Oryctolagus cuniculus: one gene and its partner. The protein of the gene in region 2 purifies or fractionates together with the protein of the main gene of each other region. This does not show direct contact. Links are inferred from orthologs where the notes say so. Each region holds a gene or a part of one and is shown on either strand. Other genes may lie near its edges.

Evidence for each region.
Region 1: the proteins of NOD1 (region 2) and RIPK2 purify together in Homo sapiens (affinity purification with western blotting; 4 studies listed by BioGRID and IntAct, with this or other methods). This does not show direct contact. The link is inferred for Oryctolagus cuniculus from reciprocal best matches to the Homo sapiens genes NOD1 and RIPK2.

What each region holds. Positions count from the first base shown.
Region 1 is NC_091437.1:115,018,227-115,022,038, reverse strand, and holds part of RIPK2 (receptor-interacting serine/threonine-protein kinase 2), read right to left. Parts: intron 427-3,812; coding exon 265-426; intron 1-264.
Region 2 is NC_091447.1:21,785,562-21,789,910, reverse strand, and holds the start of NOD1 (nucleotide-binding oligomerization domain-containing protein 1), read left to right. Parts: upstream 1-1,458; 5' UTR 1,459-1,718; intron 1,719-1,745; exon of another isoform or gene 1,746-2,254; intron 2,255-4,349. UniProt on the Homo sapiens protein: Pattern recognition receptor (PRR) that detects bacterial peptidoglycan fragments and other danger signals and thus participates in both innate and adaptive immune responses.

The DNA of each region.
Region 1 (3,812 bases), on a different chromosome or scaffold from region 2:
TGGTAGGTGTTCAATAAAGAGTTGTTGAATATATGAAAGCAATGAACACTCCTAGCTGATTTCTCTCTTCTGTTAGGAATTCTCAATTCTGCTCTCAAAACAGTTATTCAAAGGTAAATGTTATGAATAACAAGAATTAGAAGAATTTAAACAACACTTGCAACTAGTTATCCAATTTGTATAATTTTTCCAGGGATATTTTATTCACAGTGCATTAGGTACTTTACATAACTCAAATGGTCCAGATCAAAGCTGTATACTCACTTAAGAAAGATGGTCTTTCATCCGGATTTTGTGCCCATCCACTTTCTATCAGAGATATCATAAGTGCTCGATGAGGTATATCAAAAGGTAAACTTTCTTCATTAGTGTCAGGTCGATGTCCCTGTGACACACTATACATAATCTGCAATGGATTGGTGACTTCTGTCCAAAGAACGTATTTAATTTATTAGAAATACATTAAAATCTAGCACATTAAATACTAAAACTAGGCAGATGAAAATGAGTAATCTTAAAATTTTAGGAGTAATAAAATATATTACCCCTCCTTGGTTAAAGGAATACATATATATGAATCCAAGTCATTACCAGACTTGTCAGCCTTCCAGGAAAGGAGTTTACATCATCATTAATTCTGGACTTGATAATGTTATTTCACTTTGTTAATGGTATATGAGTAGAACAGAGTCAGGCAGAGCTCTGTATAGCTGAGTAAAATGTGACAGAGCCATGAAAGGCTACAGCAACCAATATCTAACTAACCTGAAGGAGAAATAAAAATATTGGCAAACTATGCAACCTAAAGGTTTAATAACCAGAATCTACAAAGAGATAAAGAAACTCCACGACATCAAAACAAACAACCCACTAAAGAGATGGGCCAAGGACCTCAACAGACATTTTTCAAAAGAGGAAATACAAACAGCCAACAGACACATGAAAAAATGTTCAGGATCACTAGCAATCAGGGAAATGCAAATCAAAACCACAATGAGGTTTCACCTCACCCCAGTTAGAATTCTGGCTCACATACAGAAATCTACCAACAACAGATGCTGGCGAGGATGTGGGGAAAAAGGGACACTAACCCACTGTTGGTGGGAATGCAAACTGGTAAAACCACTATGGAAGTCAGTTTGGAGATTCCTCAGAAGCCTAAATATAACCCTACCATACAACCCAGCCATCCCACTCCTTGGAATTTACCCAAAGGAAATTAAATTGGCAAATAAAAGAGCTGGCTGCATTTTAATGTTTATTGCAGCTCAATTCATAATAGCTAAGACATGGAATCAACCTAAATGCCCATCAACAGATGACTGGATAAAGAAATTATGGGATATGTACTGTATAGAATATATACAGCAGGAAAAAAATGAAATCTGGTCATTTGCAACAAAATGGAAGAATCAGGAAACCATCATGCTGAGTGAAATAAGCCAGTCCCAAAGGGACAAATATCATATGTTCTCCCTGATCGGTGACAACTACTGAGCACCTAAAAGGAAACCTCTTGAAGTGAAGGAACAATGACTTGATCAGCCCTTGTCCTGACTGTTGAGGAACAACTTAATACTTTATTCCCTTTAGTATTTTTTTGTTCTACTTAATACCATTGGTTGAACTCTTTAATTAACACACAATTATTCTTAGCTGTTTAAATTTAACTGAAAAGTGATCCCTGTTAAATATAACAGTGGGAATAAGAGAGGGAGGAAATGTACAGTTTGGCACATGCTCAATCGGACTTATCCCTAATGAGTTAAAACGGTGCCAGGGGATTCCAATTCAGTCTCATCAAGGTGGCATGTACCAATGCCATCCTACTAGTCCAAGTGATCAGTTTCAGTTCATAATTAATCATAATGATAGGATTAAGTGCTAAAGGGATCACATAAACAAGACTAGTGTCTGCTAATACTAACTGATAGAATTAAAAAGGAGAGAATGATCCAACATGGGAAGCGGGATACACAGCAGACTCACAGAATGGCAGATGTCCTAAACAGCACTCTGGCCTCATAATCAGCCCTTAAGGCATGTGGATCTGGTTAAAAAGCCCATGAGAGTATTTCAGGCATGGAAAGCCAAGACACTGTGGCAAAAAACAAACAAAAACAAAAAAAGAAAAACCTAAATGAAAGATCTCTGTGAGTGAGATCCCAGTGGAAAGAAGGGGCCATCAAAGAAGGAGGTACCTTTCTCTGAAGGGAGGAGAGAACTTCCACTTTCACTATGGCCTTGTCTAAATAAGATCAGAGTTGGCAAACTCAAGAGGCTTCCATAGCCTTGGCAGCTCATGACTAGAGCCTCAAGTGATTACATCATAAGTAAGAGTGTCAATTGTTAAATCAACGAAAGGAGTCACTGTGCATTTACTCCCCATTTAGGATCTCTGTCCTTAATGTGTTGTACTATGTGAATTAACGGTATAACTGGTACTCAAACAGTACTTTATACTTTGTGTTTCGGTGTGGGTGCAAACTGTTGAAATCTTTACTTTTATGGCCAGCGCTGTGGCTCACTAGGCTAATCCTCTGCCTGTGGTGCTGGCACACTGGGTTCTAGTCCTGGCTGGGGCGCTGGGTACTAGTCCCAGTTGCCCCTCTTCCAGTACAGCTCTCTGCTGTGGCCCAGGAAGGCAGTGGAGGATAGCCCAAGTGCTTGGGCCCTGCACCCACATGGGAGACCAGGAGGAAAGCACCTGGCTCCTGGCTTTGGATCCGTGCAGCACGCCGGCCATAGCAGCCATTGGGTGGTGAACCAATGGAAGGAAGACCTTTCTCTCTGTCTCTCTCTCATTGTCTAACTCTGCCTGTCAAAAAAAAAAAAAAAAAAAAAAAAAAAAAGAAATTTTTACTAAATTGATCTTCTCTATATAAAGATAATTGAAAATGAATCTTGAAGTGAATGGGGTGGGAGATGGGATGGTTGTGCGTCGGAGGGAGTTTATGGGGGGAAAAAGCCGCTATAATCCAAAAGTTGTACTTTGAAAATATATTTATTAAATAAAAGTTAAAAAAAGAGTTTACTTTGTAAGCTACTGAGATTTTGAGGTTGTTACATTTGAGCAATATGACCTTATACAAATCTCAAAATAAAGAAATAAACAATATTATTAGGGAATGAAAAAGACAGATTATTCTTCATTGTTTACTGTTCTGTATAAAATAGTTAAGTACTGGAATGGGTGCCGGGGCACACTAAGTTAATCCTCTGCCTTTGTTGCCGGCATCCAATATGGGCGCTGGTTCTAGTCCCGGCTGCTCCTCTTCCAATCCAGCTCTCTGCTGTGGCCTGGGAAAGCAGCAGAGGATGGCCTGGGTCCTTGGGCCCCTGTACCCGTATGACAGACCAGGAAGAAGCACCTGGCTCCTGGCTTCGGATTGGCACAGCTCCGGCCGTTGCGGCCATTTGGGGAGTGAACCAACGGAAAGAAGGCTTTTATCTCTGTTTCTCTATCTCACTGTCTGTAACTCTACCTGTCAAATAAATAAATAAATAAAATCTTTAAAAAAAAGTTAAGTATTAAGTATTCATATAGTTTTAAAGCTGGAATGGATCTTGCAAATAGTAATTCAATACTTGTTTTGTCGATGAGGAAAATGAGGATTCTAGAAATTCAGTGACTTTATCATAGACTTAATTACTGTCAGAGCAAGAATAAGGAAACTATATTTTTGGGACTGGCATGGTGATATAGTGGATAAAGCTGCTACCTGCAATGCTCACATCCAATGTGGGTGCTGGTTTGAGTCCCAGCTGCTCTACTTCGGATCCAGTTCCCTGCTAATGGCCTGGGAAAAATA
Region 2 (4,349 bases):
AAATCAGTGGAGGATGGTCCAAGTGCTCAGACCCCTGCCACTTATGTGGGAGACCCAGATGGAGTTCCTGGCTCCAGTCTAGCCCATTTGGGGAGAGAACCAATGGATAGAAGATCTCTCTCTCTCTCTCTCTCTCTCTCTCTCTTTCTCTCTGGTTTTGTCTTTGAAATAAATAAAATAAATTATTTTAAAATAAAGGATAACATGAGCCGGCGCCACCTAGCGGTGCCCGCACCCTGGGGTTCTAGTCCCGGTCGGGGCACCGGATTCTTTCCCGGTTGCCCCTCTTCCAGGCCAGCTCTCTGCTGTGGCCAGGGAGTGCAGTGGAGGATGGCCCAACTGCTTGGGCCCTGCACCCCATGGGAGACCAGGAGGAAGCACCTGGCTCCTGCCTTCGGATCAGCGCGGTGCACCGGCCGCAGCGCGCCAGCCGTGGCGGCCATTGGCGGGTGAACCAACAGCAAAAGGAAGAACTTTCTCTCTGCCTCTCTCTATCCACTCTGCCTGTCAAAAAAAATAATAATAATAAAATTTAAAAAAAGGATAATATGAGGATCTTTGTGGTGCTGGACACAGGTATCTTGACTATTCACGGCACATCCTGGTTGAGCTACTGTACTATGGCTTTGCAAGATGTCACCACTGGGGAAATTTCGTTCAAGGATCTAGGGCTTTTTCTGTGTTCTTCATTTCTTTTCTTTTTTTTAAGGTTTTATTTATTTGAGAGGCAGAGTTACAGACAAAGGAGAGACACAGAAAGAGAGGTCTTCTATCTGCTGGTTCACTCCCCAGATGGTGGCCATGGCCAGGGCTGAACTCATCCGAAGCCAGGAGCCAGGAACTTCTTCCAGGTCTCCCAAAAGGGTGCAGAGGCCTAAGCACTTGGGCCTTCTTCAGCTTTCCCAGGCCATAGCAGAGAGCTGGATCAGACAAGAAACAGCTGGGACACAAACCGGCACCCACATGGGATGCGGTGTTGCAGGCAGAGGCTTAGCCCACTACACCACAGCGCCGGCCCCTCTGCATTATCTCTTACAACTTCACTTGAATTGACAGTCATCTCAAAATGAAAAGTGTAAAAACAAACCAGAAATAACAATGAGATTTTAAAAAATTTGATGAGATAATCAAAGAACAAGGGACTATTGAAAATGATAAAGATAGCTAGAAATACAACCAAAAATCTTAGAATATACTAATAACAAATGGGTTTATATATTAATACACTAGAAGTGAATATATTATTGCTAAAATTAAGACGTTAACTAGATGGCGTTATTAGTTTCCTATTGCTGCCTGAATTTAGTGCTTTAAGACACAAATGTGTCTTCTTACTGTTTCGGGGGTCAGAATTCCAAAACGGGTCTCATGAGACTACATGCAAAGTGCTTCCGCGGGCTCCCCAGGGGGGAATCCAGCCCAGAGGGCGCGGGCCGCGCCCTAGTGCAGCTCCGAGGCCAGCAGTGCGGGCCGGGTCCCGCTTCGCTCCTGCATTTGCCCGCTCATCCCCGTGAGGGACCCCAGCCGGCCCCAGGCCAGGCGCCCACGCCCTTCCTGCCACACGCAGAGCCCGAGGTGCAAGACACAGCCACGCCTGGGGAGCCTCTGCGCTACAGGCGGGTTAGAAAGCGGATTCAAAAAGGTCTGCAGATGACAGTAATCGAATCAAGAGATAGCACGGGCGCCCTTCAAAACGCGAGGGGTCAGCAGCGAGGGAGGTAAGGCCGGACTCGGGCGGAAAAGGGAACTTGTCTGGTTTTCCTCCCAGGTTTCTGAGGCAGGTGAAGCCCGGAGTCCGCGCTGCTTCCCGCCCGTGTTCCGCTGGCGACGTCCGGCTTTCGGCCGAGGAGGGCAGGAAGTCGCCCACGAGGGTGGGCGGGCCGCGACGGGGACCCTCGCCTGAAACCCTGCTAACCGGGAATGCGCGAGGCCACGCGGCGGTGCAGAAGGGGGAAAGCTTCGGCCGCGGCGGGGCACCCAGCGCCTGCCCGCCCGCCGTCCCGCGTCCTGCGGCCGCAGCTGGGCGCCGTCGGGGGCGGGGGCTGACCGCGGCCGCCCGGCCTCCCACGCCGAGCGCGCCGCCTCGGCCTCTCCCAGGAACGCGCCGGCCTCTGGGGCCCGGCCCCGCCGCCTTCCCCGCCAGTTCCCGTTCCGGGCCGGCCCTGCCCCTGCGGAGCTGCGGGCGCCCGGCGCTCCCGCACGCTGGCCCGGCCTGGCTCCCGGCCGCAGGGAGTTCCTCAGACCTGGCTGCCACGTAAGTGCCGGCGCTGCGGCGGGGGTTGGCGCGGGGAGGCGGGATCTGCGTGCGGCTGGCGGCCACGCTGCCCGGGGACAGGTGCGGGGACAGCTGCGGGACAGGGCCCAGAACCCCCCCCACCCCGGGGTGGGGTGGGGAAGGATGCTTGACGGTGTCAGGCACTCGCTCCCCAGAGCGTTTCAGAACGTTCTTGGAAAAACAAATATTCTTTAAAAATTTATTTCGGTGCAGTTTTTGAAAGCCATGTGTGTTTTTTTTCATAACAACTTTTCGTGAACTTTCTGAAGACTCCTCATGTGCATGAGTCTCAGAAAACTTATTTAGCTCCATCTTCCATGAGCTTCTGGATACCCTCGCCTCACCGGGGGCTAAGGCGGGGTTATAGTGTCCACACGTGGGGCTGACCTGTGGTCAGCTCACACCTTCGTGTCGTTTGCCGCCAAAAATGGGATCTGGAGACCAAGGCGAAGGAAGGGCAGACAGGGGCCTTCACGAAGCCCCGCCTGCTCGGCCTTGGAGCCGGGGTCCCCCCAAGGAGGGAGATGACCATGGGTGTCGGGATCTGCTGTCCCACGTGCCCTAAGAAGCCTGGGCTGTGCACGCGGGCTTTGTGAGAAAGCTAAGGAATACCAGGTTGCCATCCTCTCAGAATGTCCTGCTTGCTCTGTATTTTCAGGCAGGGCCGGGGAAGCCAGTAGATCCCGGCCAGGCCCTGGAAGAAGCCAGCAGGCACCTGGCCAGGGGCCTATGCTCACCTGGGGGCGGGGGAGCGGTCCAGCTGCAGGTAGCTGTGAGCCAGGCAAGCAGTGGGGTTGACAAGGGACCGGTTTCTACTGCTCATGCCAAGCAAATGCAAAGGGCAGATTTTAAACCAAAAGAGGAGCGGGGTGGCTCAGAGGTTCTGAGAAGGTTTGACTTTTGAGGATTTGGTGTCTGTCAAACACGGGTCCGAGTCTCAGCTCTTTTTCCCACCCGTGCAGCGGGGCTGCAACAGCACAGCCACGATGGGGCGGGGATGCTTGTCCAGAAACTGCCTCCCTTGAAGGCCCTTGCCCTGCTCTTTGGCCCTGCTGCTGCCTTCCCCAGGGGAGGCCCCCCGGTTCCTTCCCCTGTGAAGCCGTGGTTTCTTCCCCCTGGGGATGTGGCTGCTCTGATGTGGGAGCTCGTGGCTGATGGCCAGGCCATGGCTCTGGAATCCAGGTTTGTCTGGGCGATGGGGATAGATTTCCTGACCCGAGAAAGCGGCCCTTTATCTTGAGACCTCTGCCCCACCACCATGTCCCCCCCCCCCCCCCATCAGATATGTCCTCCTGGAAAGCTGGGCCGTGGACAGGCTGTCAGAACTGGTGTGGCCACACGTGTGAGGCTCCCCTGCCACCACGCCCTGCTCTTCCTGTTTTGCTCCTGACTCTTGGCCCTGTGACAGCAGCTCTTTCTTCAGTGACCAAGGACAAGGGAGAATCTGGGGGTGGAGGAGCTCAGATCCTGCCAATGGCAATGCCTACATCCCCGCCGGAACCTCCCCAGTTCGTGACAGTCACTTTGGTGGGAGCAGCAGCCCTGTTCCATTTAGACATTAGGAATGTAAATAGTGAGGTCAAGTAGGTATGGGGGTAGGGGGAGTGTATTTATCGTGTATGTGTGATCCCTGGTGTTTTCTTAAACAGAATTACCAAAAGGATTCAATATTTGTTCAATACCCAAGACATAAACTAGGACTTGAAGTTTAAGTTGCTAGTTCCTCATAGGACTCTTTCTTGGGAGACTGAGGCAAGATGGAATTAGAAAAGGTAAAATCTGCATTTGTGCTGAGGCGTTTTGGAAGCTTTCACAAGACCTGAATCCTTTGCAATCCTGGGGAAGTCACTTGCATGTCACTCAGAGGGCCTCCTTCCATCTGTCCCCAAGACCTGAGCTCATTCTAGGAAAACACGGATGCTCACTGAGGGCCAGCTTGACCCTTGTGATGAGAGGTGAGCAGCCATTGCCGTCCCAATTCATTGATGATTCTTGGCCTGTGCTAGAGAATTTGTCAAGGCAAGACTTACTCGCTTGGATTCTTGTTTAAACTCGAGTGTTATCGGGAACCACC